Linked DNA regions of Callithrix jacchus. The protein of the gene in region 2 purifies or fractionates together with the protein of the main gene of each other region. This does not show direct contact. Links are inferred from orthologs where the notes say so. Each region holds a gene or a part of one and is shown on either strand. Other genes may lie near its edges.

The links.
Region 1: the proteins of RELB (region 2) and NFKBIE purify together in Homo sapiens (affinity purification with mass spectrometry; 3 studies listed by BioGRID and IntAct, counting the BioPlex papers as one, with this or other methods). This does not show direct contact. The link is inferred for Callithrix jacchus from reciprocal best matches to the Homo sapiens genes RELB and NFKBIE.
Region 3: the proteins of RELB (region 2) and NFKBIA purify together in Homo sapiens (affinity purification with mass spectrometry; 4 studies listed by BioGRID and IntAct, counting the BioPlex papers as one, with this or other methods). This does not show direct contact. The link is inferred for Callithrix jacchus from reciprocal best matches to the Homo sapiens genes RELB and NFKBIA.

What each region holds. Positions count from the first base shown.
Region 1 is NC_133505.1:52,728,598-52,732,342, reverse strand, and holds the start of NFKBIE (NF-kappa-B inhibitor epsilon), read left to right. Parts: upstream 1-1,237; 5' UTR 1,238-1,479; coding exon 1,480-1,844; intron 1,845-3,745. UniProt on the Homo sapiens protein: Sequesters NF-kappa-B transcription factor complexes in the cytoplasm, thereby inhibiting their activity. Sequestered complexes include NFKB1-RELA (p50-p65) and NFKB1-REL (p50-c-Rel) complexes.
Region 2 is NC_133523.1:39,212,796-39,216,440, forward strand, and holds part of RELB (transcription factor RelB), read left to right. Parts: intron 1-1,885; coding exon 1,886-2,223; intron 2,224-3,645.
Region 3 is NC_133509.1:69,916,736-69,920,480, reverse strand, and holds the start of NFKBIA (NF-kappa-B inhibitor alpha), read left to right. Parts: upstream 1-1,313; 5' UTR 1,314-1,422; coding exon 1,423-1,637; intron 1,638-2,245; coding exon 2,246-2,354; intron 2,355-2,684; coding exon 2,685-2,895; intron 2,896-3,192; coding exon 3,193-3,281; intron 3,282-3,388; coding exon 3,389-3,649; intron 3,650-3,745. UniProt on the Homo sapiens protein: Inhibits the activity of dimeric NF-kappa-B/REL complexes by trapping REL (RELA/p65 and NFKB1/p50) dimers in the cytoplasm by masking their nuclear localization signals.

The DNA.
Region 1 (3,745 bases), on a different chromosome or scaffold from region 2:
CCTTTCCCCAGTGCTGGAGATGGAAAAGCTAACTGTTCCCTTGGAGATAACCCTCTAAGAACATTGCTGGCACTAGGCTGGTAGCACTTGGAGTAGTGGGGAGGAACGAGGGAATAAATCATGGGGCACTGGTTTAGGGCTAACTTGTGGTGGGGTTCTCCTATGGCCTCCCTAGGCCCAGGGACAGGGAAAGAGGAAAGATGTTCTGGGACTAAGACTGAGGCAGTGGTGGGGACCTGAGCAGAGTGCAACCCAGCATGTCAGGGCCTCCCCAACATGGCCCCACTTTTTTGACTGCTGGGGGTGACCAGAAACTGTAACTGCCCAAGACCAGGGCTTCACTCTTTAAGGAAGAAGAAACCCCATAACCACTTTGCTTTTTAGACAACAGTCTGCTTGAGAAGATGCTCTTTCCAAAAAAACATTTTCATGCCCAATTCCATGTGATGTGGGAAGTTGACACAGGAGACTGTCTTCCAGGACCCAGGAGAACAAGTCCTTTAAAGATGATGGGAGTCCCCTTTCCCTACCGATACTCCTGGGCACTGATAGGGAAAGATGAGAAAGCCAGAGAAATTGAGATAAATGGGCAGGGGATAGGAAGCAGTGCTTCCCCATCCCACCACGCACATGCCCACCCTCAAAGACGCCAGCTTATAGAGACAATTAATAGATATTTCTTTAAAACAAATTAATGGTCTGGGCCTGGTGGCTCACAGCCTGTAATCCCAGCACTTTAGGAGGCCGAGGCAGGCAGCTCGCTTGAACCCAGGAGTTCGAGACCAGCCTGGGCAACATGGTGAGACCTCTCATCTTTTCTTGTAGTCCCAGCTACTAGGAGGCTGAGGCAGGAGAATCGCTTGAACCTGGGAGGCGGAGGTTGCAGTAAGCCGAGATCGCACCACTGCACTCCAGCCTGGGCAACAGAGCGAGACTTTGTCTCAAAAAAATCAAAATAAAGCGAATGAAGAAATAGAAGTGAAAGACGGAAAGAGTAAATGCGTGGAACTAATGAATGGAGTGTAAGAGGAAGGGGGAAAGAGTGAATGAATGAATGAGTGAATGAATCAACGAAGGAGTGAGTCAGGGCCCGGGAACCACAGACTCCAAGCCTACGTAGAGGCCGGGAAGGGGGATTCCGGAGGGGCGGGGTCTCTTTCCGGAAGCTCCAGCTGGGGGCGGGGCGGGGCGGGGCCATCTGGAGCAGTGAAACCTCTTTGGTCCGGGGGGGCGGGGCGAGGAGGAGAACCTGCTTGGGCGGCCCGGCTACCCGGAGTAACCGTTGGGTGGACCCGGCCAGCGCTCCGAACCCTGTCCTCGCTGCGCGCTGGCCCCTCGGAGCCCCACAGCCCGGGAAGGAGGCCGCCGCGGGCCGGGCGCCCGCTCTGCTAAGTGGACCCGCAACCCGGAAAGGCGGCGCGGCGGAGCTCGGAGCTGGATCCTGCTCGGACTGGACCCCCGCGGGCCGGCGCCGCGGGCATGTCCGAGGCTCGGAAGGGACCGGACGAGGCGGACGAGGGCCAGTACGACTCTGGCATTGAGTCTCTGCGCTCTCTGCGCTCCCTACCCGAACCCACCTCGGCTCCAGCCTCCGGGCCCTCGGACGGCGGCCCTCAGCCCTGCACCCATCCTCCGGGGCCCGCCAAGGAACCACAGGAGAAGGAAGATGCGGATGGGGAGCGGGCTGACTCCACCTATGGCTCCTCTTCGCTCACCGAGACCTTGTCCTTGCTGGGGGGCCCCGAGGCTGAGGACCCGGCCCCACGCTCGCCACTCCCCCACGCGGGGGCGCTGAGCCCTCAGCAGCTGGAAGCACTCACTTATATCTCCGAGGACGGAGACACGTGAGTATGGGGGCTAGGCTGATGCGGGATGCTAACTCTGGGCCTGCCCAAGAGCCGCAACAGGCCGGGCACCCCCACTCCCCGCTTAGGCTCTTTCAAGTCCCCATTCGCTCTTCCAAACTCCGACATAACTCTCAGCCCACTTTTGAGGTCCAGGCAGGCCCAGACCAGAAAACCTGGCATCATCTCTGTCCGCCCATTTTGGGGTGGGCAGAGCTGGCAGGACCCTTACCCAGGGACCACAGCCAGCATCTTGGAAATCTACCAGTAATCCACTCCTAGGAAGAGAAAATTCCCCTGACCAAGTCCAGTTTTTTTGTTTCTCCTTGCTGGGGAAGGGGACATCCTTATTTGCTCAATATCTGGGATTCCCAGTTCCTAAGCTCAGAGTTCTCTGTCTCAAGGACCAAAAGGTGCCAGTTACAGGGTGCCATTCGGGGGCCAGGAAGCTAGGCATGGAGGGGTGCCACCAGGGTGTAGAGTTGGGGCTGGTCCTCAGGAAGAGGGGTGAGCCAGGCTGGGGCACTCTTGCCCCAGCAGACAGACAGGAGGCTGGCTGCCCCAGCTTACTTCCTCCTCTGCTAAGAAAGGGGAAGTGAGGGCTAGAGTCAGCATCCCTGACATCCTCTACCTCCAGGGCCCCCCAATCCCACTAACTGTCATGCCTTACTCCCTCATTTAACCCTTCCTGCTCCAGACCCAGGTGGAGTTTGGTGGGAGTGGGCCAGAGGACAGTTGATGTAAAAGGCAGTTGTGTGGGATGGGTTGGCCAGCTGAGGATTTAGCACCCCCCAGGAAGAAGAAGACATTGACAGAGGAGGGGAAGGTTGGGATCTGGGGCTGATATATAGAGTTGGTGCGGGGGCTGGAATTCTTGATCAAGGGTGCTCAAGTACATAGGAGTAGGAGAGGCAGGAGGTGGCTGTCCTAACCTGCTTTTTGGAGGTGCAGGAGCCTAATCCTGGGTGACCATTGATAAAGACAGCTGGTGGACCCAGTGGGTGGGGGAGGAGTGACCCAGTCCTTTTCGTACTCTGCCTGGATCACCAGCCTTCAGGCCCAGAACCCCAAGGTTTTGGGGGCTGCATGCATGATGCCTCTGATGACATTTGATCCAAGGAGAGGGGACTTTTGACCCTGCCTCTTTAATTAGTCTCTCAGCCCCAGCCTTTTCCATCTCTAGTTAGAAGCAGGTGTTGTATCCAGACTGGGTGTGTGTGTGGTGGGGAGAAGGGTCCAGGCTCCCCAGCGAGTCCGCAGAGAGGAGGGGGCATTTTTCTCCATTGGAGGTATCTGGGCTGTGGAAGGTATGGAAGTGGGAAGAGGAAGTGGGAGGAGGGGATACTGGGGGAGAGAGGGAGGTGGCTGCAAGAATGTGACCCAGAGAGCAGGCCCTGACCGAGGGGATTTCCAGAGCGGTTCCTCCCTCCCCTCCGTCACTCTCCTGGGCCTCTCTTGCTGCCTGCCGCCAAAGCCTGCCGCCCTCCTGCCCAAGCAGCCCCCTCCCAGCCCAGATGGGCCTTTTAGCCAAGTTACCGTCCTCACTAATGCCCCAAGGCAGCTGTCCCGACCTAGACCCTTCAGCACTGGCTTTCATTTTCCCCACCTGACATGGGGAAACCCCAAGACTGGAACTTCCCCTCCCGACTGACCCCATTACCCCTAGATTAAGGTTCTTGGTCCCCTCAACAAACACATTTTCTGCACTGCAAAGACTTCCTCTTGGAGGTGCACAGAGGAATGGAGGGCCCCTGTTAGGCCTGACCTGGTCTGTGCTATCTGAGAAGCGCTCTTGACTCCCTGTGAAGGGCAGCAGGACAGGATGCTGCTCTGTCTCCTTGCTCCTCTTCCAAGAATATCTGTGTCTCTCCCTTGGAATGTCTAACATTGAGTTGCTTGGG
Region 2 (3,645 bases):
TTGAGACAGAGTCTTGCTCTGTCACCCAGGCTGGAGTGCAGTGGTGCTATCTCAGCTCACTGCAACCTCCACCTCCCAGGTTCAAGTGATTCTCCTGCCTCAGCCTCCCAAGTAGCTGGGACTACAGGTGTGTGCCACCAAGCCCGGCTAATTTTTGTATTATTTGTATTTATTTATTTATTTTGAGATGGAGTTTTGCTCTTGTTGCCCAGGCTGGAGTGTAATAGCACAATCTTGGCTCACTGCAACCTCTACCTCCCGGGTTCAAGAGATTCTCCTGCCTCAGCCTCCCTAGTAGCTGGGATTACAGGTGTGTGCCCCCTCTCCCGGCTATATTTTAGTAGAGAAGGCGTTTCACCATGTTGGCCAGGCAGGTCTCGAACTCCTGACCTCAGGTGATCTGCCTGCCTCAGCCTCCCAGAGTTCTGGGATTACAGGCGTGAGCCACCACACCCCGCCTATTTTTTAACATAGGATCGTGCTTTCTTGCCCAGGCTGGAGTGCAGTGGTGTGATCACGGCTCACTGCAGCCTTGAACTCCTGGGCTCAAGCAATCCTCCTGCATCAGCTTTTCTAGTAGTTGGAACTATAGGCACTACAATGCCTAATTTTTTTTTCAATATTTTGTAGAGATGGCATCTCACCATGTTGCCCAGGCTGATCTCGAACTCTTGGGCTCAAGTGATCCTCCTGCCTTGGCCTCCCAAAGTGCTGAGACTACAGACATGAGCCACACTGCCCAGCCTGCAGCAAGTTCAAGACCCTGAAGAGGGCCAGATGTGGTAGGAGCCAGAAACAGAAAAGAGGCCAGGCAAAGTAGCCTCCCAGCTACTCGAGAGATTGAGGTGGGAGAATCCCCTGAGCCTAGACAGGTCCGGGCTGTGAGCCATGATTAAACCACTGCACTCAAGCCTGGGAGATGGAGCAAGATCCCATCTCAATAATAATAATATTGGCCAAGGCAGGTGGATCACGAGGTCAGGAGATCAAGACCATCCTGACCAACATAGTGAAACCCCATCTCTACTAAAAGTACACAAATTAGCTGTGTGGTGGTGTGTGCCTGTGATCCCAGCTACTTGGGAGGCTGGGACAGGAGAATCACTTGAACCAGGGAATTGGAGGTTGTAGTGAGCTGAGATTGCGCCACTGCACTCCAGCCTGGCAACTTGTTTTATTTTATATTTGAAATAAAAATAAAGTAAAACAAAATAATATTATTATTTTTTGAGATGGAGTTTCGCTCTTGTTACCCAGGCTGGAGTGCAGTGGCGCGATCTCGGCTCACTGCAACCTCCCCTTCTTGGGTTCAGGCAATTCTCCTGCCTCAGCCTCCTGAGTAGCTGGGATTACAGGCACGCACCACCATACCCAGCTAATTTTTTGTATTTTTAGTAGAGACGGGGTTTCACCATGCTGACCAGGATGGCCTCGATCTCTTGACCTCGTGATCCACCCGCCTCGGCCTCCCTATTATTTTAAATGGAGTCTTGCTCTGTCATCTAGGCTGGAGTGCAGTGGTGCAGTCTTGGCACTGCCACGTCCACCTCCCAGATTCAAGCGATTTTCCTGCCTCAGCCTCCCGAGTAGCTGGGACTACAGGCATGTGGGACCATGCAGGCTAATTTTTGTAGAGACTGGGTTTCATTGTGTTGGCCAGGGTGGTCTTAAACTCCTGACCTCAAGTGATTCACCCACCTTGGCCTCCCAAAGTGCTGGGATTACAAGCGTGAGCCACTGCACCTGGCCTCCCTGACGTGTGTGTGTGTGTGTGTGTGTGTGTGAGAGATGAATGGGATGGAAAATGTCTTAGGGGTAATCAAGCCTTATTTATTTATTTATTTTAAAGAATCAGCGTCACCACGTGTTTTTTCTTCTCCCGCAGAGATCATCGATGAGTACATCAAGGAGAACGGCTTTGGCCTGGACCGGGCACAGTCCGGCCCGGGCGAGGGACTGCCGCGCTTGGTGTCTCGCGGGGCGGCCTCGCTGAGCACGGTCACCCTGGGGCCTGTGGCGCCCCCAGCCACGCCACCGCCCTGGGGCTGCCCCCTGGGCCGGCTGGTGCCCCCTGCGCCGGGCGGCCCACAGCCGCACCTGGTCATCACCGAGCAGCCCAAGCAGCGTGGCATGCGCTTCCGCTACGAGTGCGAGGGCCGCTCGGCCGGCAGCATCCTCGGGGAGAGCAGCACCGAGGCCAGCAAGACGCTGCCTGCCATCGAGGTGGGCCCGGCGCGCGGACCCGGGCGGGAGGGGTTGGGGCTTCACCTGTACCCGGAAGCCATCAGCATGCATCTATACGTTTATTTGATGGTTGCTATTGTTACTGTTGTTGGACCAGATATTAATAATTATACTACTGGGCTTGATGCGGTGGCTCACGCCTGTAATCCCAGCACTTTGGGAGGCCGAGGCGGGTGTATCACTTGAGGTCAGGAGTTGGAGACCAGCCTGACCAACATGGTGAAACTCCAACTCTACTAAAAATTCAAAATAAGGCCGGGCGCGGTGGCTCAAGCCTGTAATCCCAGCACTTTGGGAGGCCGAGGCGGGTGGATCACAAGGTCAACAGATCGAGACCATCCTGGTCAACATGGTGAAACCCCGTCTCTACTAAAAATTACAAAAAATTAGCTGGGCATGGTGGCGCGTGCCTGTAATCCCAGCTACTCAGGAGGCTGAGGCAGGAGAATTGCCTGAACCCAGGGAGCGGAGGTTGCGGTGAGCCGAGATTGCGCCATTGCACTCCAGCCTGGGTAAACAAGAGCGAAACTCCGTCTCAAAAAAAAAAAAAAAAAATTCAAAATAGTCGGGCATGGTGGCATGTGCCTGTAATCCCAGATACTCAGGAGGCTGAGCAGGAGAATTGCTTGACCCTGGGAGGTGGAGGTTGCAGTAAGCCGAGATCGAGCCATTGCACCTCACCCTGTGGGACAAGAATGAAACTTGGTCTCAAAAAAAAAAAAAAAGATAGTAATTATACTATCACCTGGGCTGGAATCCAAATGGTTCAAAAAGCTGGGGAGGGGGGTTGGCATTTGGCTGGGCACAGTGACTAATGCCTGTAATCCCAGTTCTTTGGGAGGCTGAGGCAGGTGTATCCCTTGAGGTCAGCCTGGCCAACATGGTGCCAGGCATGGTGGCACACATCTCTAACAATCCCAGCTACTTGGGAGGCCGAGGTGGGAAGATCACTGCAGTCTGACAGATTGAGACCTTGTCCCAAAAATAAAATGAAGGTGGAGTGTGGCGCTATGGTTCAGGCTTGTAATTCCAGCACTTTGGGAGGTTGAGGCAAGCGGATTACTTGAGCTCAGGTTCTAGACAAGCCTGGGCAAGATAGCAAAACTCTGTCTCTACAAAAAAATACAAAAATTAGCTGGATGTGGTGGCACATGCCTGTAGTCCTAGCTACATGGTAGGGCTGAGGTGGGAGGATCACTTGAGCCTAGGAGGTCAAGGCTGCAGTGAGCCAAGGTTGCACCACTGCACTCCAGCCTGGGCAACAAAGCAAGACCCTGCCTCAATTTAAAAGAAAAAAAAATATATATATATATATATTTCACCAGAAATAAAAAAAACAAGGAAAAGCAAAGGTGACTTTTGTCAGGGTATTAATGTATTAATAAGGTACAGGTACAATTT
Region 3 (3,745 bases), on a different chromosome or scaffold from region 2:
AAGTAGAATTCAGTCCATGACTTGTAGACTTGGAGGTGGAGATGGGGTGGAGAGCAAAAATTCTATTTCTGCAGGTAAAACCAGAGCACAGTGAGCCCAAACCCCTTTCTACCTGGGTGGCATGAATGAGTCCAACTGCTACCGTCCCCCCGGACAATGGAGCAAGGAGGGGCGGGCAGGACCAGACTGCCTTCAGCCTCCCGCAGGATGCCTGGCAACTAGTTTCTTAGTGGTCCTTACGGTCCAAGCGCGGTTTAAGGTACTAACTAAACTCATTCTTCAGTCTCCTTCTCCAAGTGTTCCTGGAGAATTGCTCAGTTTGCACCCAGAAGTAGGCTCAGGATCCATTCTCTGCAGCAGCACAATGTAGGTCAGAGAGCATGAACAAAATCGCTACTTAGGAACACAATAGTTATTTTGTTATTGCAAAGTATCCACAACCACTACTACAAAGATTAGCACCTAGCTTTACTTAGGGGGAAGAAAATCCTGGTCCTATTTAGCAGTTTCCCCCGTACAGGGAGAGTTCACCCCTCCCCCAGTCAACAGAGCTCTTCTTCCATAGGAACTTATTTGAGAGTTCTCCAAGGATTTAGGTTTTCACTCCAAAGCTTTCACAACTTCTATCTGGCGGGGTGTGCGGGGGTGGGGGTGGGGGTGGGGGTGGGGGTGGGGGTGGGGGTGGGGGTGGGGGTGGGGGTGGGGGTGGAGAAGCTAAGCGTCCCGGTGCTGCAAAGAGCCTGGTATTGGTAGAAACACGTCGGCGGCCTGCAGCCTTCTAATCACAGTGCGTCCTTCCCCTTAGAGAGAAGTCTGCGGAAAGCAAATCCCTACACCCAGCCATCATTTCCACTCTTGCGTTTTCAAAAGATCAAAAAACGGAAAAGACCGGCAGGTTGGCAAACCCCAAAGAAGGACTGCCCATCAGGTCGGCGTCCTTGGGATCTCAGCAGCCGACGACCCCAATTCAAAGCGATCGTGGGAAACCCCAGGGAAAAATGGTTAACTTGCAGAGGGACAGGATTACAGGGTGCAGGCTGCAGGGAAGTACCGGGGGCAGGGGGCCTGGTAGGAAGGACTTTCCAGCCACTCGGCGCTCATCAAAAAGTTCCCTGTCCGTGACCCCAGTGCCTCATCGCAGGGAGTTTCTCCGATGAACCCCAGCTCAGGGTTTAGGCTTCTTTTTCCCCCTAGCAGAGGACGAAGCCAGTTCTCTTTTCTGGTCTGACTGGCTTGGAAATTCCCCGCGCCTGACCCCGCCCCAGAGAAATCCCCAGCCAGCGTTTATAAGGGCGTTGGGGCGGCGCTGCAGAGCCCACAGCAGCCCGCGCCGCCGTACCGTTCGCCAGCGCTCCAGCGAGGAAGCAGCGCGCAGCCCGCGGCCCAGCGCACCCGCAGCAGCACCCACAGCTCGCCCGAGCAATGTTCCAGGCAGCCGAGTGGGCCATGGAGGGCCTCCGCGATGGGCTGAAGAAGGAGCGGCTGCTGGACGACCGCCACGACAGCGGCCTGGACTCTATGAAGGACGAGGAGTACGAGCAGATGGTCAAGGAGCTGCGGGAGATCCGCCTAGAGCCGCAGGAGGCGCAGCACGGCGCCGAGCCCTGGAAGCAGCAGCTCACCGAGGACGGGGACTCGTAAGTGGCGCGGGCCAGGGGTCGTTGGGAGGACCGGACGCGCGCAGGCGGGGCTTGGGGGGTGCTGGGCCTGCAGCCCGAGCCCGGGGACCAGCGCTGCAGCCGGGCCAGCACCGCGGCGCCCCGGGGCTCCTGCACGGCGCCGAACGCTGCAGGGCCGCAGGGCCGCGCGGGACTCCGGCTGGACTAGGAGGGGCAGAGGCTCGGCTCTGGTGGACCGCAGCGTCGCCACACGCCCCCTCCCCCCCATCCGTCCTCTAGGCCGGGGGCGGGGCGGCGGTGGGGACGCGAAGTCCCCGGTTGCATAAGGCGGGGCGGGAGTTTCTGGCCGCTGGCGGGCGCCTTGCAGCCGGGAGGGGAAGTACAGGGCGTTCCGAGCCGGCGGGAGGGCGGGGCGGTCTGGCCGGCGCCCGCCGAGGCCTGAAGGAGGGGGGCGGAAAGTCCCTGGGCGCCTGCCAGGAACACTCAGCTCATAATAACCTCGCGGAAAACACCGCGGCCTCGGCCTCCAGAAACCCCGGCCTTGCGCAATCCCCCGCAGCCCGCGCCTCCCTGGGCCCCACGCGGTGCACTCACCACCCCTGGGGGTTTTTCCCTCTTCCCCACAGGTTCCTGCACTTGGCCATCATCCATGAAGAAAAGGCACTTACCATGGAAGTAATCCGCCAGGTGAAGGGAGACGTGGCCTTCCTCAACTTCCAGAACAACCTGCAGCAGGTGCGCACGTGCCTGGCCCGGGCTTTCTTTGACCCTGGGACAGAGCTGATGTAGCAGAGTCACCCCAGATCCTTTCTGAATTAAGGGCCACTGGGCATTATTCACCCCTGCCGTTTACTTCGCATCAGCCCCCATCCTAGAGAGGGAAGGAAATTCTATGGATTTGGTGAGGTCTTTATGACCCACCTGGAGCCTCTGCTATTTGCCAGCCCTCCCCACCCTCCCACCTGGGAGGAGCAGCACCCAACCAGGAGACATTGGGGATCCGGGGAACTCGGGGTGTGGGTTTGATTCATGGCTTACTCTCTCTGGTTTCTCTTGCACTGGTAGACTCCACTACACTTGGCTGTGATCACCAACCAGCCAGAAATTGCTGAGGCACTTCTGGGAGCTGGCTGTGATCCTGAGCTCCGAGACTTTCGAGGAAATACCCCCCTACACCTTGCCTGTGAGCAGGGCTGCCTGGCCAGCGTGGGAGTCCTGACTCAGGCCTGCACCACCCCACACCTCCACTCCATCCTGAAAGCTACCAACTACAATGGTATGTCTGCCTTCCTGCCCTGCCCCACCCCCTCAGAGGGCAGGTGACATGCAGAAAGGGCACGTGGGCCAACTTAGGGAGTCCAGGAAAGAGCTTAAACTCCCAACCTGTGAAAGATCGAGAAAAGATGTGTGCAATATGCCTATTGGATACATTTTAAAAGTCCCTTCAGAACCCAGACTGGGGTTCTTAAAATTCAGAAGACATGACTGTTTGTCCCATAAAAGAATAGGTGAAAGGTGCTGCTTTAGGAGGGTTGAAACAAATGGTTATGCTTTTTTCCTTTTGTTCTTCCAGGCCACACGTGTCTGCACTTAGCTTCTATCCATGGCTACCTGGGCATCGTGGAGCTTTTGGTATCCTTGGGTGCTGATGTCAATGCTCAGGTGAGTGCTTCCTGCCTCCCATGTTCTGAGTCAAGCTCCTCGTGCTTGTGTTGCAAGCAGAAATTCCAAACGCAGCCATAGGCATCTCAAATTCCTTTTGGTTTCAGGAGCCCTGTAATGGCCGGACTGCCCTTCACCTCGCAGTGGACCTGCAGAATCCTGACTTGGTGTCGCTCCTGCTGAAGTGTGGGGCTGATGTCAACAGAGTTACCTACCAGGGCTACTCCCCTTACCAGCTTACCTGGGGTCGCCCAAGCACCCGGATACAGCAGCAGCTGGGCCAGCTGACACTAGAAAACCTTCAGATGCTGCCAGAGAGTGAGGATGAGGAGAGCTATGACACAGAGTCAGAATTCACGGAGGATGAGGTGAGTCTGAACTGCTTCAGTATTCTGTGAAATTAATGGCGGGGGGGCTTTCCCTTCACCCTCCCAGTCCCCTAGAGCTGCTCTTCATTAGAGGAA